Linked DNA regions of Oryctolagus cuniculus. The protein of the gene in region 1 purifies or fractionates together with the protein of each later gene. This does not show direct contact. Links are inferred from orthologs where the notes say so. Each region holds a gene or a part of one and is shown in the gene's direction. Other genes may lie near its edges.

The links. The genes of interacting proteins can lie anywhere in the genome.
Region 2: the proteins of SMARCB1 (region 1) and TOP2B fractionate together in Homo sapiens (co-fractionation; 3 studies listed by BioGRID, with this or other methods). This does not show direct contact. The link is inferred for Oryctolagus cuniculus from reciprocal best matches to the Homo sapiens genes SMARCB1 and TOP2B.
Region 3: the proteins of SMARCB1 (region 1) and BCL7B purify together in Homo sapiens (affinity purification with mass spectrometry; 6 studies listed by BioGRID and IntAct, with this or other methods). This does not show direct contact. The link is inferred for Oryctolagus cuniculus from reciprocal best matches to the Homo sapiens genes SMARCB1 and BCL7B.

The regions. Positions count from the first base shown.
Region 1 is NC_091452.1:30,732,829-30,742,435, forward strand, and holds part of SMARCB1 (SWI/SNF-related matrix-associated actin-dependent regulator of chromatin subfamily B member 1), read left to right. Parts: intron 1-4,894; coding exon 4,895-5,032; intron 5,033-7,195; coding exon 7,196-7,323; intron 7,324-9,607.
Region 2 is NC_091435.1:161,753,917-161,764,322, reverse strand, and holds the start of TOP2B (DNA topoisomerase 2-beta), read left to right. Parts: upstream 1-4,324; 5' UTR 4,325-4,922; coding exon 4,923-4,988; intron 4,989-10,406. UniProt on the Homo sapiens protein: Key decatenating enzyme that alters DNA topology by binding to two double-stranded DNA molecules, generating a double-stranded break in one of the strands, passing the intact strand through the broken strand, and religating the broken strand.
Region 3 is NC_091450.1:50,471,450-50,481,517, forward strand, and holds the start of BCL7B (B-cell CLL/lymphoma 7 protein family member B), read left to right. Parts: upstream 1-3,986; 5' UTR 3,987-4,135; coding exon 4,136-4,227; intron 4,228-8,388; coding exon 8,389-8,464; intron 8,465-10,068. UniProt on the Homo sapiens protein: Positive regulator of apoptosis. Plays a role in the Wnt signaling pathway, negatively regulating the expression of Wnt signaling components CTNNB1 and HMGA1.

The DNA.
Region 1 (9,607 bases):
GGTCTGTTGGGCCTGGCCAAAGGTAGGAGCTAGGAGCATCTCCTGAGTATCCCACATAGGTGACATTGCTCAAGTGCTCCGGCCAACCCAGGTGCATATTATTAATTAATAATAGCTAAATCAGAAGTGAAGTAGCTGGGAATCAAGCCGGCAACTTTGATATGGGGTCCAGGCGTCCCAAGCAGCAGCTTAACCCTCTGTGCCACAGTGCCCACCCACATTCAGATTCATCTGTTGATACCCTAATAGATGAGTAAATAAATGATGACCCACCTCCAGAAGTATGTCTGAGGAGTAAGCAAATGCGGGAAGAATGCTTGTCTTTGTCAATTTTAGCATTCACAGTCACAACAACAAAAACACTGTGTGAAGAATTGGAGTTAGCTCTCTAGATGGTTGAGTTTTTGTAAAGCAGTATGACATCAAATATTTTTTGTTCTCTAGCTCATTAATTTCATTTTAAAAAAAGATTTATTTATTTATTTGAAGAACAAAGTTAACAGAGAGAGGGAGAGACTGTCGCTCCCCGTCTTCATGGGGGAACGACACTAAACCCTGCCTAGGCTTCATATCCGAGTCACGGCACCATTATGTCGCTCCCCCTCTTCGTGGAGGAGCAACACAGGACCCTGCGCTGTTCTTTCGTCTGCTCGGCCCTCCCCGGGTTTGCTGCTGGTTCTTCCCGGGTTGGCTACTATCCCTTCCACCTCCGTGGAAGGGCAGTTCCCCCTGGCCGCATTCCCCACTTCCGCAGGGGAGCGGCACACCGCCGGCCAGCTTTCTCGGGGGCTGCACGGGTTCCCTTTAGATGTTCCCCATAGATGTTCCTGGTGCATGCCGTCTCTCTCCTCCTTTACAGTCCTCCTCCGCCAATCCCAACTCGGCTGAGTACGCTGCTCTCCAATCAGGAGCAAGTCCTACAGTTTATTAGTTGAACTGGAGGCAGCTGTGCGGAAGCTGTTTACTTCTCTCCCAGCGCCATATTGTGGGAGAGCAGATGCATAGAATAAGTCCTAATTCGAGTAACTCAGTCTGGTCCGGATTGCTCCCCACAGATCCCCCTTTCTTTTTATTTTTTATCGTTGATACGCGCCTGTCCTCGGTGTCCCGCGGCACACACTCTGCTCTACTTGCTAGAGCCGCCACAGGCTCTTACAAGTCCTATCAATCAGGAAAACCGAATCCGGGTCCTCTCTTCGCCATTGTGAGGAGGTTTTTAGGCGCTGATGCGTGCCTGTGTTCGGTGCCCTGCAGCGCATGCTCTGCTCTGCTAGAACTGCCTGCAGGTGTTTACAAAACCTATCAGGCAAACCGAATCCAAGCCTTCTCATTGCCTTATTGTGGGGGAGACTTATTAGTGTTGGTTCGTGCCTATCTTCGGTGACCTGCAGCTCATACTCTGGTCGAGCTTTGCTGGCGCTTACCGCCTTAAATCAGGCAGACCGAATCCAAGCCTTCTAATTGGCATGTTGAGGGGAGGCCTTATTTTTCTCTATTTCTCTATCTCCGGGCATTCCTACCTCTCCCATTTCACTTCTATCTTCCAGCATTCCCATTTCTCTTTTACTTCACTTCCAAACTTCTGTTTCTCTTATCCCTGCGGCTTTCCGGCACCTCGCCCCGCCGGCGGGTTCCCGGCTCTGCGCCGCTTCAGCCCGCGCGCCTCTCTGCGCGGCTTCCCGGCTTTGCGCGGTCCGCGGTCTCCACGCTTAACCCTTTCGCGTCTGAACCACGGCCTACGCCAGCGTTCCCTATCTATTCACGCCCCGTGCTCTCTCTGCACGCGGCGGCTTCCGCGAGTAACACAGCGTAGCTTGCGTCTCCGCCACTAGGATTCAATCTAAGTTCCCCGGGCTAGCCTGGCGAATTCAACCCAGCGTACGTCTCCGCCCCACGATCTGGCTTCCCGTCCTTTGCTCCCCGGGCTAATCAGACGGATCCCAATCTGGCTTACGTCTCAGCTTCTGGTTTTAACTTTTCGCCCCCTATTCCCGGGCTAACTTGAGAATCCCAAAGTGGCTTTCGTTTCCGCCTTGGCCTGCCCCCCGCGGCTTCAATTTCCCTAACATTTTTCTCTACCCGGTATGTTTCCCCAAGCTTTCCTCCAACGATATTCCTCCCTCATTTCTCCTGGCCTCTCCCCACAGTCCGCGTCCGAGTCTGTTTGTTCTAGCTTTCACTTTCGCTTTCGACCTTAGAGATTTCTCCCAGCTTCCCCCCGTAGTCCGTATCCGAGTCTATGCCTAGGCTTTCAATAGCTTCTTCCGGCACCCTTTTCGTCCGGCTTTTCCCTAGGCTGTTTGCTAGTCTCTCTCTCCGGTAATTTCCCTAGGCTGTTTGCTAGTTTCTCTCTCCGATATTTTCCCAGTTCTTCCCGTTTCTTCCCTCCTGAGTTTCGTATCCGTCCTAAGTTTCCTATCCGAGTCACGTTTCTTCCCTCCTAAGTTTTCTATCCATCCTAGGTTTCCTATCCGAGCTAGGTTTCCTAACCGAGTTAGGTTTCCTATCCAAGTCACGGCACCATTATGTCGCTCCCCCTCTTCGTGGAGGAACGACACAGGACCCTGTGTTGTTCTTTTGTCCGCTCGGCCCTCCCCGGGTTTGCTGCTGGTTCTTCCCGGGTTGGCTACTATCCCTTCCACCTCCGTGGAAGGGCAGTTCCCCCTGGCCGCATTCCCCACTTCCGCAGGGGAGCGGCACACCGCCGGCCAGCTTTCTCGGGGGCTGCACGGGTTCCCTTTAGATGTTCCCCATAGATGTTCCTGGTGCATGCCGTCTCTCTCCTCCTTTATAGTCCTCCTCCGCCAATCCCAACTCGGCTGAGTACGCTGCTCTCCAATCAGGAGCAAGTCCTACAGTTAATTGGTTGAACTGGAGGCAGCTGTGCGGAAGCTGTTTACTTCTCTCCCAGCGCCATATTGTGGGAGAGCAGATGCATAGAATAAGTCCTAATTCGAGTAACTCAGTCTGGTCCGGATTGCTCCCCACAAGAGACAAGGATCTTCATCTGCTGGTTCACTCCCCAAATGGCTACAGTAGCTAGAGCTGGGCTTCTTCCAGGTCTCCCAAGCTCTTGGGCCATTTTGTGCTGCTTTCCCAGGCACATTAGCAGGGACCTGGATCGGAAGTGGAGCAGTCGGGTCATGAATTGGTGCCCATATGGGATGCTGGTGCTGCAGGTGGCTGCTTAACCTGTTACACTACAGCACCACCACCACCACCTCAAGGCAAACCCTTACATATGAGGTCTTTGGAAAGTTCCTGGAAAATGGGTATTATGAAAAAACAATGCATGGATTTCAAAACACCACAAATACATTTACCTTTCTAATCCATTCTCCAGGAACTGCTTGAAGTTCTTTGCTGTGTTATCATTGAGTAGCTTCTGTAGCCGCCTCAGGCAGGTGGTATATAAGACTGTATTGTATGCTTTCATCACGCAAGAAAGTGGGCTTTTGTACGCACACGAGCCAGGGAGCGCTGAGGGAGGGGAAGGGTTACTGTTGGCAGTGACGTGGTTGTGGAAATAATTTCTTGCCAGCTTCTCTTTCAACTCCGCCTGGGGATTGTTTTTATGACTCGCCCAGGAAAAGTGGCTTGTCGCCAGCCCGGCCGGCACACTAGACGTGTGCACTGCAGATTCTCGTTCCCCTGGGGATGTGGCGAGAACACAAGGAGGCCTAGACCCTCGGGGGAAGTCGTGGAAGGAAATTAGCTGCATATGGATAGCACTTTCAAGTTTGCATGTGTCAGCTTGGATCCTTTTATGGGGTGGTAAACAGCTTCTTGATGATCGGGTCACATGAAGACCAGCTGAGGCAGGGGAATCCTGATCCCTGGAGGTGGGGACGCAGGAGGGGGCACAGGTTGGAGGATAGCACCTTGAGCTGGCTTCTGGCTGCCCTGTTAGCCCTACCGGGGGCCTGGCAGCCTTCTCGTCCATTGTGGAACTACTCGGGCAGAGGCTGGATGCCCCTTCTCGGGGGTCTTAGGAGGCTCTTGCTGCAGAAGGAATGTTGACTTTTCTTAATTCAGGTCCTGGGATTCTGTGCTCATGTGAGGATGTGGTTCATGTCAGCTGTGCCTGTGAGCTGTGATATGATTGACACTGCCCACCTGAGCTAGCTGCCGGACAAGAGGGCTTGGGAGAGATGAGAGAGGGACTGCTTTGAGATAGGGCAGGAGTCGGGGTTAGGGAGTGGGCCTCCATGCAGCCTCCAGGAGGACGTCCAGGCAGGCACGAAAGAGGAGCGGTCGAGAGCTGGGGTTTCCACATAAACTCCACTGCCCTGGCATCTTCCATGGACGTTGTAAAGAATGCACATTCCTGGGTCCTACCCCAGAGGTAGGGTTAAAATCTAAGTAAATTTATGGTGGAGGACAGAGGCACAGGCCAGGGTCTGCCCTAGCCTTGGGCCCATTAGTTCTTTTATTTTTCTAAAGTTGAGGCCACTTAACACCACCCCTCAATTGTGGATGAGGACAGAAGGGATTTACGGTAACCATTTTAGTGGGCACTAGAGCAAGTCTCCTGTTCTGCAGGTCTTGCTCTGATCCTGTGATTAGTCTTCACCTCACACCCAAGACCTGGAAAAATGAGAACATGGACCTAATTTGGGCAGGGGCTGAGAACTGGGTCAGCAAGCTCGGATCCCCATCGTCTGAGCTGTCTGAGCTGAGCCGGTGGTTCCTGACGCTGGCCATACAGTATGCTCACATCTCCCTTCCGACCCCTCGGAGACTGCCAGCCACCTGCCGAGGAAAGTCAGATCCTCGGGGAGCATGTGAGGCTCATGTTCGGGAACCTCTCTGTCTCCACCCCAGCCCCCTCGCTGGGGTGCCTCCTTCCCAGAGTAGTGATGGCTCTCTTTTCCCTGTTGCCACATCTCCGCAGGGAACAGAAGGCCAAGAGGAACAGCCAGTGGGTGCCCACCCTGCCCAACAGCTCCCACCACCTGGACGCCGTGCCGTGCTCCACCACCATCAACAGGAACCGCATGGGCCGGGACAAGAAGAGAACCTTCCCCCTCTGGTGAGCCTGCACAGATTCCGCCCGGGCCCAGCACATTTCGTCTCGCCCCTTCCCAGCAGGACCTTGGGTTCCCCAAAACACTGCACTGCTGCCTCCTGCTCTTCCTTGGAAACACTGTCTCCTTGGGTGTCTTCAGACACTGCTGCTCTCTGGCTTCCCCAGCTGCCCCGCTCCACCTGCATCAGTGTCTCATTGTTGTTCTCCCATTTCCTAGCCACTCAAGTCGTGTTCCTGGGGTGCAGTTCTGGGGCCTTCACTCTGCCCTCCGTTTAAAGGCCATCCATGTAACTGCCACTGTGTCACTTCCTCGGGGCTGCTGGAATGGGCCCCTGCAAAGCAGGTGGCTCTCAGCAGGACACACCGCTTCTCCTGCAGTTCTGGGGGCCAGGAATCCCAAGTCAGCTTCACTGGGCTGAACGTAAGGTCTGAACAGTGCTGCGCTCCCTCCGAAAGCTCCAGGGCAAGTCCCATCCTTGCCTCTTCAGCTCTGGTGGCTGCAGTGTCCCTCAGCTGTGGCCGCATCATGCTGCTGGCTTCTTCCCTGGCACATGCCCCCAAGTGATTGAAATCCTCTGTCTCCAAGACCCTGGGATGGTATGTGGGATCATCTCTGAGGACCCGTCACTTAATCACACCTGCACAGGCCTGTTTTAGGCCATAGGAAGCTGTGGTCATAGGTTTCAGGGGCTAGGATGCCAGCACTTCTGGGGCCATTCTCAGACTTCCGCCTCTACCCTCCCTTCTGTAACCCAGGCCTGCCCCAGCCGCCACCCTTACCTCCTTGGCCTCATGCTTGCTGCCTGCTGACTCGGCTTGGGATTCTGCTCCTCGCCCAGGCCAAAAGCCTGGGCCTCTTTCTCCCTCTCTCTCTCTCTCTCTCTCTCTCTCTCTCAGCCCCTTCCTAAAAAGTCCTTTGACAATCCAGGCCTGGACCTTGCCTTGGCCAGCTCCCCACCAACCCTGGCTACGTATTGGCAGCAGCCTCAGCCATGTGTCGCCACCGCATCCTCAGCCTGGCAGGCAGTGTGGGTGTCCTCACCCTGGGCAGAGCCAGCTGCTCCACACAGAATCCTCCAGCTTTGCCAGCACATTCAGAGCCAAAGCCAGGCTTCTCCTGGGGCTGCGGGCATGCAAGCCCCACCATACTCACTCCACCTTACGCATGGCAGCCTCCTCGCTTTGGTCACACCTCACACTGACGGAGCTGTAGCCCTGCACCCTCTGCTGGAGCTCACTTCTTGTCGCCGTCTCCATGGCTTGCCCCATCTTCCCTCTCTCCCATCTCCTTTCGGGTGTCACTCACCTCCCCCTTTAGAAGGCCACTCCTGTCTCCGCACCTGTAACCCCCCTGCCATCCTCACTTCTCAGTGCAGTTGCACCTGGCACCAGGTGTGTTTTCCCTTCCCTGTTGGTTTGTTATCTGTTTGCCAGACTCTAAGGGCAAGGCAGATCTCAGCCCTCTCCATGTTCTTCAGGTGCCCGGGTCTCCCCTGCTTGCCTGCGTCATCTCTTCCTCTTTGTCTTCCTAAACCATGGAATTCCCTCACGGGTTGTCCTCCTGAGCTGCAGGATGGAGCCCAGTCTCTGCAGCCTGAGATGGGGAGCCATCAGCTCTGGGATACCCACTGGCCTTACAGTCCCATCTCCTCCATCCCCCACCACCATGGGATCTACCCTCTGCTCTCAGTCGTTTGATTGCCATTCCCTCAGCTCCTCCGCTCTCCTGCCTCTCAGCCTTTGCTCAAGTATTTCCTCTCTGCAAATGCTCTCCTGCTTTCTCACAGCTTTCTGCTAATGTCCTGCCTGCTGTGGGCCCAAAACCCACCTCTGACGCATTTCTGGGTCTTGTTCTGTTGCCCAGGGCAGCAGCTTCCTTCCCTTCCCTGAGCATCCTTGAAACAGTCAGCTCTGCCCTGGTGAAGCACTTGCCACCAGCAGTCTGGCGCTTGGCATCATGGCCCCTTCTGTCCCCATGAGACCATGGCCTCCAGACCCCTGGTGGCCATTGGTTGACAGGTGCGTGTGAGAAGCAGCCTCTTTTCTTCCAGCCAGGTTCGCAGTGACTCCCTGTACAGAGAGGGAGGCTGGCAGTTCACTCCCCTGGAGCCCTGGGTACAGGGATCGTGACGCCCTCACTAATGATGGCTGCTGTTCCACTTTCAGCTTTGATGACCACGACCCAGCTGTGATCCACGAGAACGCATCCCAGCCTGAGGTGCTCGTCCCCATCCGCCTGGACATGGAGATTGACGGGCAGAAGCTGCGGGACGCCTTCACCTGGAACATGAATGGTAGGTGGGCATCAGGCTCTGCTAGGAGACTCATGTAGTTTTGGATGTGGATCTGGGGTCAGTCCTGGTTCTGAGCCTATGTCTTAGTCCATTTTCTGTTGCTGTAACACAATACCTGAGACTGTAATTATTTATAAAGAGGTTTGTTTGGGCCCATGGTTCTGGAAGCTGGGAAGTCCAAGGTTGCACTGTGGCATCGTCATGGTTTTTTTAAATTTATTTTTTTAAAGATTTATTTATTTATTTGAAAGGCAGAGTTATAGAGAGGCAGAGAGGGAAAAGTCTTTCATCCACTGATTCACTCCCTAAATGGCTGCAACTGCTAGAGTCTGGCTGATCAGGAGCCAAGAGCTTCTTCCAGGTCTCCCACATGGGTGCAGGGGCCTAAGTACTTGGCCATCTTCTACTGCTTTCTCAGGAGCATTAGCAGGGAGCTGGATCAGAAATGGAGCAGCCATGCTTAAAGCGGTGCTCATATGGGATGCCAGCACCACAGGTGGGGGCTTTATCTGCTATGCCACAGCACTGGCCCCTGTGGTGGTTTCTGATGAGGCCCTCGTACTGCTTTGGCTCAGGGCAGAAAGTAGAGGGCAAGTGGACATGTGTGAGACAAAATGGGGGTAGAGCTGCTTTCTAGTCTCGGGTAACTAAACCAGCCCCGTGAGAGTGAAGACCTATGGGAGCAAGGCATTAACTCATGCGTGAGGCTCTATCCCCAGGGCCCAAACATCTCCCACTGCAGCCTCCTTCCAACACTGCTGCACTGGGGCCAAAGCCTCAACCTGCGCTCTGGTGGGACAGACCACATTCAAGCCACAGAAGCAAAACGTGGACATCCAGTTCCATCCTCTCCGTGAGACTGGGTAACCCAAAGGGCCTGGCGCTTGATGACAGAGATACTTCTTGGACTGGTCCATGGTCCAGCGCCTGCCCTTCCCACCCTGCTCCTCTGATGTGTCCCTGCATGCTCTCAGGCCTCTGCTCTTGCCCTCACTCACCTTCCCCTCAAGTCCTGGGTCAGATGCTGTCTCCTCTGGTTCCTCCTGGCCTTCCAAGGTTTGAACATAACGGTGGTGGCTGTAGGCAGAAAGGTCAGAGGATGTGTGCCCCGCAGTGCTGGGGGTATTCATCCCAGCTGAGAAGGTAGAGTACACACATGTGTTCTTTTACATTCTGTTCATTAATTCATCTGAGAGATGGAGAGCTCCCGTTCTCTGGTTCACTCCCCAGATACCCACAACAGCCAAGACTGAGCTAGGCTGAAGCTAGGAACTCCCATCCGAGTCTCCCACATGAGTGGCAGGGACCCAAGTACTTGAGCTCTCAGTTACTTCCTCCCAGGGTGCAAATTAGCAGGAAGCAGAGCTGGGCTTCAAACCTGGCACTCTGATGTGGGACATAAGCATCTCCCAGCCTAGCATCTTAATTGTGAAGCCAAATTCTTGTCCCTACGTGTCTTTATTTTCTTCCTAACTCTATCAGAATTTTTCTGGTGAACATACTTATATTTAGACAATGTGCTTATTTTTAAGTGCATACAAGTTTTTTTTTAAAAAAAGATTTATTTATTTTTATTTGAAAGTCAGAGTTACACAAGGAGAAGAGAGGCAGAGAGAGAGAGAAAGAGAAAGAGAGGTCTTCCATCCGATGGCTTACCCCCAATTGGCCATAACGATCGGAGCTGTGCCGATCTGAAGCCAGGAGCCAGGAGCTTCCTCCTGGTCTCCCATGCGGGTGCAGGGGCCCAAGGACTTGGGCCATCCTCCACTGCTTCCTCAGGCCATAGCAGAGAGCTTGATTGGAAGCGGAGCAGCCGGAACTAGAACCGGCGCCCATATGGGATGCTGGCACTTCAGGCCAGGGCGTTAACCCACTGCACCACAGCACCGGCCCCACAAGTTTGTTTTTTGTTTTGTTTTGTTTTCTTTTCTTTTTTTAAAGATTTATTTTATTTGAAAGGCAGAATGATCTTTCATTCCCTGGTTTGTTCCCCAATGGCCACAACAGCCAAGATTGGGACAGGCCAAAACCAGGAGCCAGGAACTCCATGTGGGTCTCCTGTGTGGATGGCAGGAGCCCAAGTACTTTGGCCGTCTTCTTTTTTTCTTTCTTTTAAAAGATTTATTATTTATTTGAAAGGCAGAGTTATGGAGAGACGGAGGCAGAGAGAGAGACAAAGAGGTCTTCCATCCGCTGGTTCACTCCCTAAATAGCCATAATGGCCGGAGCTGAGCTGATCTGAAGCCAGGAGCTTCTTTGGGGTCTCTCATGCAGGTGCAGGGCC
Region 2 (10,406 bases), on another chromosome or scaffold:
TTACTATAGATATGCAGAAAACCAAAAATCTACATTGATAAACTTTAAAGCCTTGAAGTCCCTTCTAAAGAAATACAATAAGCTAAATTAAATTTGTACATTTAATAGTCACCAGTGGACAAATTGTTATTGGGTTTTCTCATCTTTTGTGAGGTTTTATGCTGGCAACTTTATATACATTGCATATATATATACATTATATATATATGCCAACATCAGGAGAAAGAGATAAGACACTACATTTTAAATTCAAGTATTAACTGTAAATGCTTACTAGGTTAAACATTATTCCCTTATTTCTCCAAATGAGTTTCAATATGACGGTAACATGTGATTTAAGCAGAAATCCTGTTGAAACATTGCTAGATACCTGGCAGTATAGTTGTGATGTGCCATCTTACGTTTTCATTTATTGAATAGATTATCTGCTGGGTATAAAGTGCAATGGTAGATGTGACTCATTAAGTAAACTGTTTAAAAGCAATTCATTCATTCGCTGTTTAATAGACCTAAAGGGTTAGCTCTAACCTACACTAGCGTAAACTCAAGGCAGAGACTGCATCTTCATCACCTTTTAAAGTTTCCAGATACTCAGTACCTAACAGAATATATATTTGATTAAATATTTCTTGCGTGGGGCAGGGAAGCCGGCAAAGCAGGCATTGGGCTTAGTGGTTAAGACACCTGTGTCCTGTATCTGAGGGTCTGAGTTTGAAGCTTAGCTTGAGCTGACTGCAGATCCCACCAGTACAGACCCTGGGAGTCACCAGGGATGGCTCCAGCGATTGGATTCCTGGCCCCTGCCTTTAGGTGGATCAGCCCTTGCCATGGTGGGCATTTAAGGAGTGAACTCGTGGATGCAGCTCTCCTGTTGTCTCTTTCTTCCTCTCAAAAAAATATTTTTTTAAAAGAGAAATATGCAATTTTAAAAACATAGACCTAAAAATAAATTTTGAAGTAGTTAGGATGAGGTCCTATGGAAGTTACATAGAAAGTTTGATTAAAGGCCTTTATTTGTGCAGCTTATAGAAATCTGAGTTATCCAGTTTTTCACATGGCTAATGCTTACTATTGGATAGAGATGAAGCCTTTTGTCGACAGTCATACCATCCTGAACGTGCCCAATCTTGTCTGATCTCAGAAGCTAAACAGGGTTGGGTCTGGTTAGTACTTGGATGGGAGAAACGAAGACTTTAAACAAAATATATACATATACAAATAAAGTTGAATCTAAAAGAAGACAAAGCTGGAGCTGGCATTGTGGCATAGTAGGTAATGAGGCAGCCTGTAATGTCGGCATCCCATACGAGTGCTGGTTTGTGTCCTAGCTGCTTCACTTCTGATCCAGCTTCCTGATAACGGTTTAGGAAACGTGGTGGAAAATGGCCCAACTGTTTGACTCCCTGCCACTCATGTGCAGAGACCCAGAGGAAGTTCCTGGCTTTGTGCTGGCCATTGAAGCCATATGGGTAGTGAAAAGGTGGATGGAAGATCTCTCATTTGCTCTTTCAGAATAAATGAACCTTTAAACAAACATCTGATTTGGAAGCTTTTTAAAAAATATCTTAAATTGCTTGAGGCAGAGAAAGATTATTTCTGTCCACTGGTTCATTTCTCATATGCTCACAACCACCAGTGGTTTGAAGATGGAACTCAATCCAGGTCTCCCATTTAGGTGTCAGACACCCAATTACTTGATTCATCACCACCATCTTCAGGAATCTGCATTAGCTGGAAGCTGAGTCCAGGCCAGAGCCAGGACTGGTACTTTAAATTGAGATGCAGGTGTCTTAATTACTAGGCTAAGTGCTCATCCTTCAAAGCTTCTTAACTTGACAATTCTTGCTATAATTCCTTTGTAAATGAAAATTGCCATTACCCCAGAAGGCAAAGTGGTGCTCAAGTAAAAATAATTTTTTATCACACAAACTTTTTTTAGAATCTGATGTGAAAGTACTTTCAAAAACTCGTGGAGAAATGGAATTATAAGATTTACTTTGTCATGAAAACTTATGAAACCATGCATAATTTCTTTCTTTTTAAGATTCTGTTATTTCAAAGAGCTACACAGAGAGGGAGAGGTAGAGAGAGAGAGAGGTCTTCAACCTGCTGGTTCACTCCCCAATTGGCAGCAACAGCCAGAACTGAGCTGATATGAAGCCAGGAGACAGGAGCTTCTTCCAGGTCTTCCACATGGGCGCAGGGGCCCAAGGACCTGGGCCATCTTCCAATGCTCTCCCAGGCCATAGCAGAGCTGGATCGGAAGTGGAGCAGTTGGGACTCAAACCGGTGCCCATATGGGATGCCAGCACTGCAGGTAGCAGCTTTACCTGCTATGCCGCAGCACCAATGCCCCATAGTTTTTCATAATAGGCACTTTTCCACAAACTTTTTGAATATCGCTCATCGAGGTATTCATCTACCATTCATCATAAGCCTGTTTTAAAATTTATTTGCATGTATATTCAATCTCATTTATTTGTGATTCTTTTAGGTAAGTCAATGTTAGGAAGGAACATTTGTTATAGGGTTTCTTCATACTTTGGCTAAAGAAGTCAATGCCTCATTTGGCAAGTGACAGGGACATAATTTTCATGAACCTGTTTGACTTTTGAATATTCTATTCCAAATTTGAAGGTGAAAAGCTTTGAAAACTGAAATTGTTTTAAAAAGACAGCTATATAGACTATGACTTGGATTTTTCTATGCGTGTTTTCATGAAAACCTCACAACCTTAAAAATTGTTTAACTCTTTTTAAACATAAAACATATATGAATTTGTAGATGTTAAAGTCGCAGTAAATGCAAGAGTGAAAGTCCTCATTGTAACAAGGCACACGTTGAGGTGTGGGGAACTTACATTACAAGGCAATGGATGCTAGTTGGTGAGGCTCTCAGCCCAGAATAGACCCTGGTCAGATTTACAGCTTGTACCCCAAGTTCAAGGTAAAGAAAGGTCCCACTGTTCTCAACCAAAGTCCCCAAAATTCATGGCCACTAGAGAGCTAATTAAGAAAAACTTGGTTTATTTCCATGTTTCAGAATTCCGCACCTCTGGACTCAGAATGCAGTTGAAAGATGTAACCTGAGCCACTTCGGTTTTCCCTTGAGAGGAAGTGAACAGTTGGACGAGACAGTCACAAATAACACCTTTTCACAAAGCAGAAGTACTTGATCTAAAGCTCTCCTTTCACAGCTCTTAGGTAGCTCTTCAAGCCCTCAAGTACTAATTTTGGCTATGGATAACGCCCTTGGAGTCTCTTAACAAGCCAGATTATCAATGACTTGAGATCGGGCACTGTTCTCATTTTGAACCCATTGTAGAGCTTGGCATAGGGTGCAGGTGTGTGTCCAACAAATACTGGTTTAATGGAATTACACTTGAAGAGCAGGACGAAGAGACGCCTTCTTCCATGTGCCAAAGGCTTTGGTGTTGCTATACGGGAAATGTTCGTTCTTAGAAAGCTTAAATGCGAATAGATTTATTCCTCAGTGTGCGTTTGAGAATTCCGCTGAATGTAGCTGAAATGCAGCGTCCCTTCTTAAAGGTCTTGGAGAAAGAAAAGTGACAGTGACATCTCCGCATGGCTCAGAAGCGAGCACGGTCAAGTAGAAACAGAACGCTCACCCCGGGCCCCCCGGGCCCGCATTCTGTTCCTGGAACGCTCTCGGCGCGTCTCTCTGTGCAGTTTTCTTGGGACCATATCCTTTTTTGGGGGAGGGAGGAGGTGGTCTGAGTCATGTCTTTCTACAGCAGTGTCCATGTGAGGCCTTGGGGAGGCTGGGGTCACGGGGCCCTCCTTGCACCAGTGCCCTACAACGTCTCGCTTGCGGTTTACAACCGCTCTTTAAAAATAATTTCCCGCTGGGACACTCCCCCTCCCGCCCCCCGGCTTCCTCCTGCCACCCCCACCCTCTGCCCCACCCCCAGCCCTAGCGGGCCCCTGGCAAAGAAACGCCTGGGCGCCCGGGCCGGGTGTTGGAGTAAACAGCGCGCTCGGAGGATTACCGTCGCCTCGAGGCCACTTCGCCCCTTTGCCTTGGCCGCCCTCAAATGACCCCTGACAGCAGCCCCTGCTGCCCCTTCAAATGGAAACCCACAGCAGACACACACACATACACACACATACACACAAACAAAAAAACCTCAAGTCTGCCTTTCGGTTGCTACCCGCAATGACGTTTCCCCCTCGGGGTCCCGCCCCTCCGGGGGGCTTGGAATTTTGGGATTGGTCGAGAGGTAGTGGCGACAAGGCTCCGATTGGACGGCGGGGAGTTGATGGACAGCGGGGGCTGCCGCCGCGCCCGCCCGCCCTCCCCACCCGGGTGCGCGAATGTGTGTGTGCGGTGTTATGCCGGACTAGAGGGAGGCGACCGTGGCGGCGACGGCTCTGTTTATTGTCCCTCTCGCTGTGTGCGTGTGGAGAGGCCGAGAGTGCAGCGCGGCTGTCGGACGCCGCCTTTGAGGCCGTGGCGGCGACCGCGCCGAGGACTCCGGCGACCGGAGCTGTGGCCTTGGCGGAGAGCGAGGAGGACAAGGCGCCCCTGCGTCCCCGCCACGTCCGGGCGCCCTTGCGCAGCTCGAGCCTCCGGGCTTAGGCCCTGCTGGCTGTGGGGCCCGCGGAAGAGGCAGCGCCGCGGCCGGCCGCTTCCCGCTTTCTCTCCGCCTCCTCCTCAGGCGCCGCGCTAGGCCCGAGCGACGCGGCCGCCGCGCCTCGAGTTTGACGGCGGCTGGCGGCGCGGCCTCCTCGGCGGGCTCGGCCGCACGTCCGCTCCGGGTCTCGGCGATGGGGCGCTGGGGCCGGCGCGGCTAGGAGCCCGGCGAGCGGAGCGGTCGGTGCGGAGCGGCGGGGCCCAGCGGCCCGCAGGGAGGCGGGAGCGGCGGCCGCGGCTTCGGGGCCTGTGAGCGGGAGGCGCCCGCCATGGCCAAGTCGGGCGGCGGCGGCGGCGCTGGAGCCGGCGCGGGCGGCGGGGCGCTGACCTGGGTGGTGAGTGGCGGGCCCCCCCGGGGGGGGGCGGGCGTCCCGGCCGCCGCTTTGTTCGCGGCCCGCGGTGGGGGTGGTGGTGGTCGCGGGGGAGGGGGTGGAATCTGCGGGGCCGATCCGTGGGGGGAGGGGAGGAAGGGGGGCAATCCCGTCTGCAGAGCCCCCCGCGCCTTTTTTTTTTTTTTCTTTTCTTCCTGCATTCCTTCTCTTACCTCTCCGGAAGCTCAGGCTGCAGAACGAGGCGTGCACTTGAAACTTTGGGGGGTGGTGTGGGGGGATCCACCATCACACAACGTGTAGCCCCCGCCTCCTCTCTCTCTCTCTTCCTAGCTCCTAGGGCAGTGGGGCTAGCCATAGTGCCTGTGTGGGTGGGTCGGCGCTTTCTCCAAAGGTGGAGCAGGAAAATCGGGGAGAATGAGGGGTGTGTGTGTGTGTGCGCGCGCCAAAGGAAACCATCGCTGGCGCTCCAGTCTCAGAGAATGGGGTTGGACGTCTCGAGCAGTCGGCACTGGAGTTTGGGCGATCTCAAGGATGGCGAGGGCTCCGGGTCACGGCATCGCAGCGGTTAATGTGCGGTGCTCTGTCCATCTGTCAGGGTGGGATTATTCAAAGAAGCGCTTACCTACGTCAGCGGTTCAGGTGAAGCGGGTGGGGGCCGAGGCGACCAGACCCGAGCGCGTGGGGCTGTAGGTCAAGGATTTCGGCGCTCGGTTCCTGCGGCGAGTGGAAGAACTGGAGAGGCCGGATTCCCACGGCAGATCGATAATTCGCTGGCGTTTCACGCGCTCAGCGTGGAGTTCAGACCAGGGTCACTTCCTACACACACAACACTTGCAGCGAAGCTGCCTGACTGCTACTCAGGGCTTTCAATGGAGTTACCTCCCCGGCCTTTTAAACACCCCAAGTGAACTTCTGTTGGCATTTGGATTACTACATTCATTTTCCTTTTGTCTTTGGGTGAGTCTAGGGTGAATTGTCCCTTGTAAACAGGGTTGTTAGTGGCAGAAAAACATTTTCATCATTTAAGTGTGTCCCGGTGTACTTCGCGAAATAAGTTGCCAGGCTCTATGGTTGAATGTTTCTGAATTTTTTATATTACTTCAAGACTGTCGTGTGAAAGTATGAACTGACTAAAGCCAGAAGAGAAAATGTCAGTAAGTTGTGGTCCATGTGAACCTGGGGGAAGGGGTGGTGGTGGTGGTATCTGCAGAAGAGAGCTTTTCTGAAATTGGTGGTCCTTAACCCCTTACTAAAATGAGATGTGCAATGGAGTTAGTTAGCCAGATGGTATCCTGAACTTTCCTTGACTATTTGGAAAAGTGTTGAGGCCTGATCCATGCCTTCTCTGAGGACCCTTTGATTTATAATGATAAACATTTTGCTGCAAGGTTGAATTTGTTTTAACATGATAGCAATATTTTAATTTTAACTCTTAACTTTGTAAATAATTACATGACTGCTTTTTCTTTCAAGCTCAATAGGAAACTTTCATTTACAGAAGAAATTTAGCAAAACATGAATAGTCTCAGTCAACATTAGGAAAGCCATTTGAAACTAAAATTGACCTTTTTTTTTTTGCTGTAAAACTGACATGGGGTATACAGTAAAATGGAGAAATATGATTTATTTGAGGGTATATGTTATTGAATAGGAAGTTTACTTAGGAAATCACCTTTGTAAGTTTTCGTTAAGATTTGATGCTTACTTTAAATTTTAGTTTACATGAGCATCTTAATGTCCATAATATACTTTGGTGACCACAGATTGGCTTAATTCTTTAGGAGGCAATATAATGAAATAGCTATGGGCTCTGATTAATATAGGTTCAGATCATATGTCCAACGTGTCCTGTTGGTGGGATTTTTGGCAAGGAACCTAACCTTTTTAAGCTTCTTTCTTCATCCAATAAGGTTACAATGAGAAATTAGATAAGGTAGCACAGGGCCAGGCTTAATAAATGTTATAATTGGCAAAATTCAAGAATTGCACACTCTGAAATGATACATCACAGTTGCTTTTACAAAAATCGCTCTTAGCTGCAGTGAAAAAATTTTTCCCTTCCAAGAGTTCAGGGTTTATTGCAGTAATCATCTGTTTTGCAAGAGGGGTAACTTTGCTTTATTGAAGCTGGTGTTAGGTTGCCACCTGCTTGTGGATGACAGAAATAAAAATGGAATAGTCCTATATATTCTGGGTGGATGGGAGTGGGTTGAATGCCATGTGTTGCTGGTTGTTAACTTCCGTTGGGCTGTGTACCAGCATGTGTTAAACATTGTCATTGCACAAAGTTTACTTTTTCACTACCTGGAACCATAGAGCAAAGAGGTTTAAGATTGGCATTAATTTTTCTTTTTAGTAACTCATTTGATCTGTTTGGGATTTGCAGTATCTAAATCAGTATTTTTGTAATAAAAGGTGATAAATACTTTAAGTGTGGTGTAAGGATTTTGAGTTCAAATAGACTACAGGTATAAAGGTTTCTCTGAAGCCAGTGGAGTTTCTTGAATTAATTCTTAGTTTGAAAGCTTTGATTAGCAGACCATAATAGTTTGTTTCATTCTATTACTCTTTTTTTTTTATCATGTTTAGGCGATTGTAGCAAATCTATAAAAATATTAGAATATAGTCATTATTCATCATGTTTTTTAGTAACACTCTAACTTGGTTTAAAAAATGGAAAATGTTAAGTAAGTATCTAAAAAGTGGTAGCCAAAATATAATGAGCCCTCTTCTAACATTAAACCTCAATAATTGTCAACTTAAGGTTACCTACTTTTCCCCTTCTCACTATTTTAAAGAAAAGCAAATCCTAAAATTACATCACTTCATTTTTTTAAAAAGATTTTTTTATTTATTTGAAAGTCAGAGTTACACAGAGAAGGAGAGGAAGAGAGAGAGGTTCTCCATCCACTGGTTCACTCCACAATTGGCCGCAATGGCCAGAGCTGCGCCGATCAGAAGCCTGGAGCCAGGAGCTTCTTCTGGGTCTCCCACGTGGGTGCAAGGGTCAAGCACTTGGGCCATCTACTGCTCTCCCAGGCCATAGCAGAGAGCTGGATTGGGAGTTGAGCAGCTGGGGCTAGAACCGGCGCCCATATGCTATGCCAGCACTGCAGGCGGCGGCTTTACCCTCTACGCTGCAACGCTGGCCCCAACATCACTTCATCTTTAACTGTCTTAATATTTGTTATCAAAAATTAAGTCTCTTTTTAAAAGTTAACATTTTTGTTTTTTAAAATTCATTGAAATATATGGCATATGCCTTTTTGACTGTGAGTCAAACATGACTAAATACTTCAAGATTTATAGAACAGCACTCTAAGTACTCATTATTGAAATTCTAAATTCCTCAGGCAGATTTTCATAAATTATGTGCCCTCTCCATTGAAATTTATTTCCCGAGTTACCCAAAGTTAATCTCTTCACTGTCTCCTATATAAATTATGCCTTTTTTGGGTTACTTTTGCTTGCTTACTTTTCATCAGGAATGCCCTTCTCCATTTTTAGCAGTCTGAATCTTTATTCTTCAAGACTAGCTCGGTCTCACCAAACTTATTTTCTAGTTTATAGTCATCCTGTCATCTTTTTTTCCTCTTTAAACTTTGTTGTTCTTAGAAATCGTAAGTCTGTCTTTGTAACTTTCTTGCATGTCAGTTTTATCTTAAAAATATAAACTTCCGAAGTTAGACCCTGTTGATGGCCTTTATTGTGTTTACCAAAGATCTGGATACATAATTCAACCTGTTAACAAGTTGAATTATTGGCTTATTGACTTCCAGAAATTTTTCTGTCAGTAACAGGTGGTTACTAGCAATGTTCTTTAGATATATTTTCAAAACATAATAGTACTTTGAAATACTTTTCCTAAACAGTGCTAAGTTTTCTGTGTGTTCAAATCTATTAGATACTTAGATGGTGGCAACAGTTGCCTTTAGACTTTCTATTTTTAAAAATCTCGACACCAAAGGATCCAGTTTTAAGAATGGGTGTAATTCTAGGGGTTTTAGAGAATAGTCAACAAATTGTGTATAACCACCTGCTTAAGGCAAAGGTGGGATTTAAATCAGTTTATGTTCTTAACCATCATTTATGCAGCTGCCCATCTTAAAAACATTCAAACACAAAGCACCCTGATGTGACAGATTTTAAGAGACTTCTGAGAGGGGCCAGCACTGTGGTGTAGCAGGTAAAGTTGCCGCCTGCGGTGCCAGCAACCCATATGGGCGCTGGTTCAAGTCCTGGCTACTCTACTTCCAATCCAGCTCTCTGCTGTGGCCTGGGAAAGCAGTAGAAGATGGCCCAAGCTCCTGCACCGCTGTGGGAGACCTGGAAAAACTCCTGGGTCCTGGCTTTGGATTGTTGCAGCTGCGGGCATTGCGGCCAATAGAGGAATGAACCAGCAGATGGAAGACCTCTGTCTTTCCCTCTGCCTCTCCTCCTCTCTATGTATAAATCTTTTTTTTTAAAAGAGATTTCTGAAATATACCTGTCTCTTATTAACCTTTTATACAAGAAGTAAAGGCATTATTATTTGTATTTCCTTTTAAGGGTATATGTATCTATTATAGTGTAGTTTTTATAGGCTGAAAAGTGAGAGATTACTTGGTTTTATAATTCAGCTCCTGCAAACACTAGCTTTGGAGAAAGACTTAAGTTCTACAGATCTGTTATTTCTTCTCTACAGAAAGAATCATAATGAGAGAATCTACATTATGGCCCTCCACAGAAGGATTGAGCTTATCCTTTTAATTTCCATACTTGGCTCTCAGAGAGGAGTACACACAAAAAGTTTTTTTTTTTTTAATCCAGTACTGTATTTTTGCTTTTATCTTAGAGAAAACATTTTTTTCAGATCTTCATAGCAGAAATTTAAGTATTTCTTATTTTTGGGATTCCTCATCTTCTGCCTCTTTAAATTATCTCTTTTTTAGAGGGTATTTCTTGGGGAGCACAAATGGTAGACAAATTGTTGCTTTTTGTTTCATTAATGGTGGGTAGATAAAATGGCCCCTCTGCATTTTTGTATCAGTGAAATGTGATTAAAACAAACTTCAAAGAGTGGCAGCCTTGAGGAAGAAAAGCAAGGAGATATTACATGAGGTTAATGTTAAGTCTGAAGGGGCTATATGGAAAGAAGGTAAAGGGACTTGCTGCTGTTCTGCCAGCCCCATGCCACTTGCTGGCTTGGTCATGGTGCAGATTCTGTGATTATGTGAAAGTGGTTCAGTCCATATTTAGTACCACCTGACAGACTATCTACTTTCCCCCAGTGGCTGTTGTTCATTCTCCCACAGCAAAACAGGAACTAGGGGTGATCGTCCCCAGTTGCTATATCTCAGGTGACAACTCCGCATGGAAGAATCTGTTTATTTTGTTTTTACAGAATTATCTTGGGTTTTTACTCATTCTGAAACACAGGAT
Region 3 (10,068 bases), on another chromosome or scaffold:
TCAGACCAGCCCCTGGGTTGTTGAGGCACCCCCCCTGGGACGTGCGTGTGTGACCCCCCCCCCCCCCACCAGGGCAGGATCCCAGCTCCTTGGTTCCGTGTCCCAAGCGCGGTGGTACCTGGGACAGCGTAAGCACTCAATCAATGTTGAACTCGAGCCAGGGCCACAGGACGGAGACTGGTTTCCTCTCCGTGTGTCTTCATACTGCCAGTCTCTGCTTTAGGCTCCTGGTAACACACATCTGACCGACTAAGGTATCTGTGCACACGGGGCCTGTGAATAGCGTACTGTTGTCCAAAGCGTGAGGCTAAAGCCCCATGGCCCCCCTGTTCTTAGAAGCAGCTCTGGGGTCACTCTCCCGTCTCACAGCCCGGAGAGGGAGCGACTGTGGGATGTTGTCGCTGAAGGCAGGAGTCTTCAGTCCTGCCGTCGGCTGGTGGGAGACCTGGCGCAGGCGGGTCACGCCGGCTCTGAGTTTGTTTCCTTGTTTGTAAAATGGGAATAAATTCTGTTCTTCCTACCTCACCTCGCCTCGTGAGTTTCTGATGCGATGCATGGAGACAGCAGGGAAAGGTGACTGCAGACCTCCGGGACGGAAAGCTGCCCTTGGGCCCGTGGTGGGGGGGGGGAGTGGGCGCAGCAGCTGCTGGGGCTTTCTGTGGTTTACGTTTTGTTTTGTTTTTTGCTTCTTGATAAAAATACTTGAGAGTGTGGTGGCAGCATTGGTATTTTTATAATGCTATTTCAACTCCAGTGAGTTTGAAAATTTTCAGTAGAAGTTGGGGATTTATTTATTTTGGACACTCAGAGAAACAGCTCCCAACTGCTGGTTTACTTCCCCCAAATGCCTGTGATGGAGCTCGGAGCCAGGAACCCCATCCAGGTCTCCAGTATGGGGGGCGGGAACCCGGTTACTTGAGCTGTCGCTGCTGCCTCCCAGGGTCTGCATGGACAGGAAGCTAGGAACTGAACCCAGGCACGCTGATGGGGGACGTGGGCATCTTAACACCTACTGATTACATAATCTAGATCAGGCACCTACTGTTTACATAATCTAGATCAGGCATCAAAAATTGAAAACAGGCTGGCACTGTAGCTCAGTGGGTTATCCCATATGGGCACCAGTTCAAGTCCCAGCTGCTCCACTTCCGATCCAGCTCTCTGCTATGGCCTCGGAAACCAGCAGAATATGGCCCAAGTCCCTACAGGCCCAAGTTCAGGCAGTGCGTATGTGTGTGGCATGGAAACCACTAGGAAGACCCTGTCCTGCCTGCCTAAGACTCAGTCTCCTGGGGCCAGCGCTGTGGCTGCGGGTTAAGCTGCCACCAGCAATGGCGGCATCCCAAAATGACATGGGTGCCAGTTTGAGTCCTGGCTGATGCACTTCTGATCCAGCTCCCTGCTAATGCAGCTGGGAAAACAGTGGAAGATGGCCCAGGTCCTTGGGCCCCTGCACCCGCGTGGGAGATCCAGGTGCTCCTGGCTACTTGGCTTTGGCCTGACCCAGCTCTAACCATTGTGGACATTTGGGGAGTGAACCATTGGATGGAAGTTCTCTCTCTCTGCCTGTGCCTCTCCTCTTTAACTCAAATCTTTAAAGACAGAGCTCTGGCATGGGAGTTGTGTGCTTGGAACCCCTGCATTCCCTGTCAAGAGTGCCTGGTTCTAGCCGTGGGTGGCTACTCTGTACTTTAGATTCAGCAGGGGGTGGCTCAAGTACTTGGCCCCCTGCCACCCACATGGGACACATGGATTGGGTTTGAGGTTCCTGGCTTTGGTGTGGCCTTGCCCTGGCCAGGTGTGAGTTTTTAGAAGGGTATCAACAGAATGCCCCCTGCATAGCCTGTAGGGAGTAGCTGGTGGGTTCCCATCAGCACTTTGGTCACTTACAGAGAGAGTGAGCTCCAGCGTGAGATGAGCTGAGGAACGCAGGGCCACATGGACAAATGCGAGGAACTGGGCATCTTCGGAGTTGGGGCAGGGGTGGCCCAAGAAAGGTGGCTGATGAGCACGGTGGACACCAGGGCAAGTGCATTTGGGAGGGGCAGTAAGTTAACAGGCAACAAACCTCAGGCTGGGGGCCAGTGTGGTGGCACAGTGCATCAAGCTGCTGCCTGCGATGCCAGCATTCTACATGAGCCCCAGTTCGAGTCCTGCGGGCTCCACTTCTGATCCAGCTCTGCTAAAGTGCCTGGGAAAGCAGCAGAAGATGGTCCCAAGTGCTTGGGCCCCCTGCCATCCAGGTGGGAGACCCTAATGGAGTTCCAGGTTCCAGGCTTTGGCCTGGCTCAGCCTGGACCGTTTGTGGTCATTTGGGGAATGAACTAGTGGAGGGAAGAACTCTCTCTCTCTCTCTGTAACTCAAATAAATAAGAAAAAAATCTCAGGAGGAGGCTGGCTGGGACTTGGTCATGGATGGGAGACAAATCAGCCATCACCTCCAGGTGTTGGCTGTTGGACTCGGGGCCTGAATTGGGGGCCCTGTGAGTCAAATTGTGGAATTGTCGAGAGCCAGCATCGCTCGTGGCACTTGTTCTGTCTTGGGTTTCCCTGCTGCCTTCCTCATCTTCACCCCAAGGGCAAGCAGTGTGTCTGCCTCACTCAATGTGTCCACTGCTGTAGGGCAAACAGCAGGTGCACCAGCGGTGCTTGGGTTATTGTGCATGAGCTGGGTTTCAGAAACAGATGTGTCCTCTTTGTGATCCTATTATTTCTCAACTCATTCTCCCCCCCCACCACCACCAAAGTCAAGCAGAAGCTGTTCCTGGTGCCCCCCCCCCCCAATACAGAAGGGCGTGTGCTTGTCAAGTCTTGGTACTGGTCAGATGGGCACAGTCCCAGGCTCTGTTGTGTCCAAAGTTCGCTGGGCCTTTCTCTCCCTAGAGAGAAATCTCCCTAGAGAACTGCTTCCTGCCGTCCCCAGGAGCTGCGGCCACAGGACCCTCCCTCCATCCCGTGGGCACGAATGCGTGACTGCTGGCAGGTGGGTGGGGGCAGTGTTTAGAGAGTCTGTAGGCAGTGAGGCCTTGAGGCATTAGCGACTGCCCTGTTTGCAGAGATCAGCTTCAAGGGCACTTTTTCTAGGTCACTTTGTTGTCTCTTTTAACCTAGTGTTCATCAAATGGCATCTTAAATACTTGTTTCCTGGTCTGCATGTTCTACTGAACTCCAAGCTCTTTGAAAGCAAAAACACATCGTGGGTGGTGTTCCGGGGCAGCGGGCTAAGCTGCCTGAGATGCCCACACCCCGGTCCGACTGCCTGGGGCACTCCTGGGATGCACAAGCTGGGAGGATGGCTCAGAATTTGGGCCTCTGCCACAACCGCGGGAGACCTGGATTGAGTTCCCGGCTCTGGGAGTCAACCTGGCCCAGCCCTGGGAGTTGCAGGCGTTAGGGGGAAAGAGAACCAGTGAATGGAGGATCTCTCTCTCCCTTTTCTGTGTCTTTCAAATCTTGAAAAAACAAAACCAAAACCTCCCAAGGCATCATCGCTGAAACCAGTGACCGCTGCATTAAATGGTGGCAGTGGAATCGTGCTAAGAACGAACACGGGGACCCTAGGGTACCCCGGGAGGCTGGAGTTTGAACCGGATTCTGGAAGAGCGAGCAGCCAGTTCCTCGGGTGAGCACCAAGAACAGCAGGCACACCCCAGACAGGTGTCAAACTCCCCGCCGTTGGAGCCCAGTGGGAGTCCTGGGGGGGGGGGGGCGGACACTCAGGTCCCACCGGGGCCAGGCTCCCAGCTTCTCTGGACGCAGTGCAAGGGCGCGGACCTTCAATGCCCCTGGGCAGAAGCGGACACCCCGCCCACTGTACCGGCAGCGCCTCGCACCTTGCCCTGCCCGCAGCACGTGCAGCCTGCTCGGCGCGCCCAGGCCCGGGGCACCCATGCCCGGGGGTCGGGAGGGCCGCCCGGGGCGGGGCGCGCAGGCGCGCTGAGGGCTCGCGTCCCAAGGGGCGGGCGGGTGCGCGCGCCTCCTCGCGCACGCGCGCACGGAGGGGGCGACGGCCGCGGTGACGCTGCGGCTTCGGCGGCGGTGGCGGTGGCGGTGGCGGCGGCGCGTGTGAGGCGCGCGCGATTCTCCGCGCGTCTTGGGAGCAGTGCCCCGGCCCCCCGCCGCTCCCGCCGCCGCCATGTCGGGCCGGTCGGTCAGGGCCGAGACCCGCAGCCGGGCCAAGGACGACATCAAGAAGGTGATGGCGGCCATCGAGAAAGTGCGGAAATGGTGAGGGCGGGAGCCGAGGGTGCCCGCGCGCGCGCGCGCGCGTGTGTTGCGGGCCCAGGCCCCGAGGAGCGCCAGTCCGGCAGGCTGGGTGGGAGCCGGCCGGCCGGCTCCGGAGGGGGAGGGGGAGGGAGAGGGCGGGCGGAGGGCGCGCCGGCGTCGGCGTGAGGTCAGAGGGCAGCGCCGACCGGGGCCAATCAGCGGGCCGCCCGGCTGGCTGCCCCGCCCACTGCCGCGGTCGCGCGCGGCCCGGGGATGGCTGCGGACTTCGGGCCGGCGCTGGGCCTGCGGGTCCTGGCTCAGAGTCCCGGGCTGGTGCCGCTGCTGCTGTCTCCCCGTGCTGTCCTCCCCCTGATTAGGAGCCAGCCATCCCCCGAGTGGCTTCGGTCGGCCCGGCTGAGCGCTCCACATAACACAGTCGAAATCTGAGAGTTCTCCCGGTAATTCCACCTGCCGCGGGAGCAGGCGTGGTGGTCATCGGAAAGGAAACCTGCCTCTTTCCCCTAACGCCCCCTGAAGTCGCAGGTGAAGCTCCGGAAGCTCCCGGAGCCTGTTCCTCTAGCTAGCCAGCAGTAGGTAGGAGCCCGGGGGCTCCCGTGTGGGCCTGGCTATGCGTTCCCCTCCCCGCAGGCCGGAAGGGCCTTCTCGCTCGCTCTCCGTTGGCTTCCGGTCACCGCGCCGAAAGCCAGAAGTGTCCGCTGGGACGGCTAGCGCTGACTGAGTTGTCCAGGTCCGCTTGCGGCTGGAATGCGGGCCCTGGGAGGGAAGGGGCCGTGCGTCTCGTTCCCTGCCTTCCTAGACGAGGGTCTTCGATACTGAATACGTGGTCAGCAGATGAGGAAACGGAGCGGACCGGTCGGGAACCGGTGCCCCCTGAGCCTTTTTTAGCTCGTTGTTTCCAGTCCATCGTCACCTCTCTGCATTTCCTGATGGCATTATTTGCTTCATAGCAGCTGTGACAGTAGTGACTTTTATGTGTTTATTTAGTATAAACTTCAGATTTGGCCTTGAAACTTTGCAAAGCGGTTCAGGTCCGCGAGACATCAGCTCCCTGCATTTGGTTCTTGCTCGGGCTGACAGCAAGTACTAAGCAGTCTTAGAGAAGTAACTTCTTTCTTTTTTTAAAATTAATTACATTATTTGATGGGCAGAGTTAGAGAGAGAGAGAGGTCTTCCATCCCTGGTTCACTCCCCAATTGGCCGCAACAGCCGGAGCTGCGCCGATCTGAAGCCAGGAGCTTCTTCCAGGTCTCCCACGCGGGTTCCGGGGTCCAAGCACTTGGGCCATCTTCCACTGCTTTCCCAGACCACAGCAGAGAGCTGGCTCAGAATTGGAGCAGCCGGGACTCGAACCGGCGCCCATACGGGATGCCAGTGCTGCAGGCTGGGGCTTTACCCTCTACGCCACAGCGCCAGCCCCGAGAGGCAACTTCTTGGAAAGCCAGCTCCCACCTGCACACACACTGGCTGGCAGCCCTTCAGAGCAGGTCGAGCGTGTTGCTCTGTGTTGAGTTTAGGACGGGCCTGATTTCCTTTCGCTGGGTCTAGCTCATGTTGTCAGGCCCTCGTGGTCTTGAGCAAGCCCTTGGCCTGGTCTTGAGCCGTTGCTTGTTTTGTGAGTGATGAGGATTTCTCCAGAGCTTTGAACTTGAAGGTTGAAATCTGAACATTTCTTCAGATTAGCTGTCTCCTTAGGCAGTCTTGGTAAGGCAGAACAGCAAGGGATCCCAAGGCCGGGTCCACGCCTGCCGCTCCCACCCAGCAGAGAGAGTGTGTGTGTGTGTGTGTGTCTGTGTCTGTCTGTCTGTGTGTGTCCCCCGTGGTCCTTTCTCCCTTGGAGGAATCTTTATATGGAAGCAGAACAGGGCAGCCAGTCCATGACCAGAGTGACTTAAGAGATTAACACTAAAATGACCAGAACCTTCTTTTTAAATTTTTGCTTTAATTAAAAAAATTTGCCCTAAGTTTATTTCTGCTTGTCTATATGTTTAGTGGTAATGGAATAATAGGGATTTTTGAAGATGTGCTACATAGTTTGTTATCTTTACTGAGATTCTAATTTGGTAAATAAGCTGATGAGACAAAAACATTATCAGAGGCACACATGTGACATCATTTAATAAGGAGCATGCAAGAAGGGGCCTGTGCCTACAGAGAGCTTAGAATTGCTGTTTTGAGTGCCTTATTTTATTTTTTTAAAACGATTCTTTCTGAGCTTTCTGTTCTTTCTTTCTTTTTTTTTTTTTTTTTTTAAGATTTATTTTATTTATTTGAAAGGCTGAGTTACAGAGAGGCAGAGAGAGAGAGAGAGAGAGAGGTCTTCCATCTGCTTATTCACTCCCCAGGTGGCCCAGATGCATGCAATGGCTGGTGCTGTGATGATCCGGAGCCAGGAGCTTCCTTCAGGTCTCCCACACAGGTGCAGGGGCCCAAGCACTTGGGCTGTCTTCTACTGCTTTCCCAGGCCATAGCAGAGAGCTGGATCGGAAGTGGAGCAGCCAGGACTTGAACTGGTGCCCATATGGGATGCCGGCACTGCAGGCAGCAGCTTTACCCATTATGCCACAGTGCTGGCCCTGCCTATTTTGTTTTTTTAGTGTTAAGACTTGTTAGAGAATGGACTCCTGCCCACTGGTTCACAACCCAAATGCCCACAGTGGCCAGGCCTGGGCCGGGCAGAAACCGGGAGCTGAACGCAGTCTGGTCCCCCACATGGGTGGCAGTGCCCGTTACCACAGCCAGGGTCTGCATAGGTGCCAGCCAGAGCCAGGGACTGGCCGAGGTGCGCTGATGGGGCTGCAGGCGTCTCAGCCGCCGTGCTGAAACCCGCCGACGGCCTCCGGTCACGGTTTGATCCATAAACGGTTTCTGGGAGATGAGCTCGGCAGTTGGTTGATGGTTGCAGGGCTTTTCCCCGGGCTTCAGGGAAGGTTCCAGGCCAAATGAGTCCTCACTCTGGGGAGAAGAAAAGCACACATGGTAACAAAAAGGAGTGTGTGTGCATGTGTGTGTGTAGGTTGCTCAATCCCTTTGCAGAGTAGCCTCAAACCCCTCCAGCCTCATCTCCCACCGAGGGGCTGCTTGCTATTACCAGACACAGCTTCAGACACTGCATCCTCTGCCTGTCCATAGTCTCCCGTATTCTAGAATGTTCCTCTCCTTTGCCCAGGTATGTGCTGGGGAAAGGGGGCTCGTGGCATATCTGAAAGTTGCCTTCTCTGTAAAATAAAACCCCAAAGCTCCTTTGAGAGCCAGTGTGAGGCCTACTTCTGTTAGCCAGAAGCATCCTGTCTTGCTTCTGGGATTATTATTACTGTTTTTAAAAGATTTATTTATTGATTTACTTGAAAGGCAGAGTGACAGACTGAGAGATCGATCTTCCATCTGCTGGTTCACTCCCCAAATGGGCACAACAGCTGGGGCTGGGCCAGACCAAAGCCAGGGGCATGTACTCATCCAGGTCTCCCTTGTGGGTGGCAGGGGCCCAAGCACTTGGGCCGTCCTCTGTTACCTTCCCAGGCATGTTAGCAGGAAGCTGGGTCAGAAGTAGAGCAGGTAGAGATTCAAGTCAGGGCTCCGCTACGGGGTGCTGATGTCGTGGGTGGCGCCACGCTGCCACCTTTGCTGTCTGTGCTACAGAAGTCACAAGGGTGCCCCTCCATAGTTGAGCCTCGCCTGGCCTTGTCTTTCAGCCTCCTTGATGTCCTCGCCGCCCCCATGGTAGGCGGTGATGTTCCTTAGTGTTTCCATCTCTTACGAGCTCCCAGGGAGGAAGGTAGAGACCATGTCTTCAGCATCTTGTGTCTCCTGCAGGGCCTTCTGGAATAGCACTTTCTACATAGCCGTGGGGTGGACTCAATGTTTGGAAAAGAAGGGTGATGCCAGGTCAGTTGCTGAGCTGGCAATGCCCTGAGTTGTGTACGGCCGAGGTCCGGGCTCCTGAGGACAGGTGACGGGGACAGGGCTCAGCACCGGACGCATCTGATAGGGAAGTCTCTGGAAGGGACGAGGTTGCGCCGTGAGGTGAGGGGTCTCTCCGTGGAGAGGGACGTCAGGGGGCGTTCCAGGTGGAAGGACTGATTGGCTAAGACTAGAGAAACATAAGCAATGAACAGAAAATGTATGTTTTTGTTTTATTAGTTCTGAGAAGTGTCTTTCTTTTAGGGAGAAAAAGTGGGTGACTGTGGGTGACACATCCCTTAGGATATTTAAGTGGGTTCCTGTGACAGACAGCAAGGAGGTAAGTGTGGAAGACAATGAGAACAACCACAAGGTACCCGTTTCTTTCTTTCTTTCCTTGGTTGCCTCTTAGTGGTAAAGGATTGAGCTGCGAACTCGTCAGGGACCCTTCTGTCATTGCTCCAGGCAAGGCCTCTCGTTACTAAAATCTTCACCCTTTATTCTCTTCCTGAGCGTGTCTGTTTCTCCAGGGCTTGGCAGCCTGCAGCCTGGCCTGAGCCCTGTGTTCGTGAGTATGGTCTGGAAGACAGCCATGCCCACGGGGTGCTTTATTGTGACAGCCACAGAGCCGAGTAGTTGCCCTAGACCTGTGCTGCCTCACAGCCTAAGGATGGGTCTGTCCCTTTAAGAAAAGGTTTGCTGAGCCCGTTCTCACCTGTTAGCCACCCGCTGTAGTATGTATGTGAAGGTTTGTACTTTTCTGACTCCTTGTCTTCTGATTGGTTTGGGAACCTGTGTATTCTGGAAAAACACATAGCATTGCTTCCTATGGGTTGTTTTTGTTTTGTTCTTTAAGAGACAGAGCCCCCATCTGTCGGCTCACTGCTGCTGGTTCACGCTCCAGACGCCTGCAGTAGCCAGGGCTGTGCCAGGCCGACGCCAGGGGCCAGGGGCTCAGTCCAGGTCTCCGTGTTTGTGAGCAGGGAGCCAGCTGCCCAAGTTACCGCCTGGCTGCCTCCTAGGGTTAGGAATGTGGGTATTCGTTACGAAACTCTATGTAGTCCTGTACTGTAAGCTTCTTGGTGTTTTTTCTCTTTTGCTAAACCTTGATTTAAAAACTGCATCCGGAAGAAGCTCCTGGCTCTGGCCCAGCTCTGGCCATTGCAGCCACCTGTGGAGTGAACCAGCAGATGGAAGGTCTCTTTGTTTCTGTCTCTCTTCCTCTCTCTCTCGGTGTAACTCCACCTTTCAAATAAATAAATAAATCTTTTAAAAAAAACCTGTATATGTAAATAGAGCTATTTACTTTTGACTCTCTCTTTTAAGATTTATTTATATATTAGAAAGGCAGGGTACAGAGAGAGAGATCTTTGGTCTGCTGGTTCACTTCCCAAATGCCTGCAGGAACCAGGCTGGGCCAGGCCAAAGCCAGGAACCAGGAGCTCCATCTGGGTCTCCCAAGTACCTGAGCCATCTGCTGCTGCTTTCCTAGGCACCTTTATAGAAAACTAGATCCGGGGGCCAGTGCAATACATGGCATCCCCCGTGGGCACCAGTTCAGGTCCCGGCTGCTCCACTTCCAATCCAGCTTCCTGCTAATGGCCTGGTGAGGCATAGAGGATGGCCCAAGTGCTTGGCCCCTGCACCAGCATGGGAGACCCAGATGGAGTTCCCAGGTGGCTTTGGCTTGGCCCAGCCCTGGTCATTGTGGCCATTTGAGAGTGAACGAGTGATGGAGGACCTCTCTCTCTCTCTCTCGCTAAGTCTGCCTTTCAAATAAATACAAATAAATCTTTAAAAAAGAAAGAAAACTAGATCAGAAAGGAAGCAGCTGGGACTTGACCCAGTGCTCAGACCGGGGTGCTAGTGTCACATCACAGCTCACCTGCTGCACTGCACTGCTGGCCCCGGCTAGGGTCACGTTGACCTATACTCTTGCGGTGC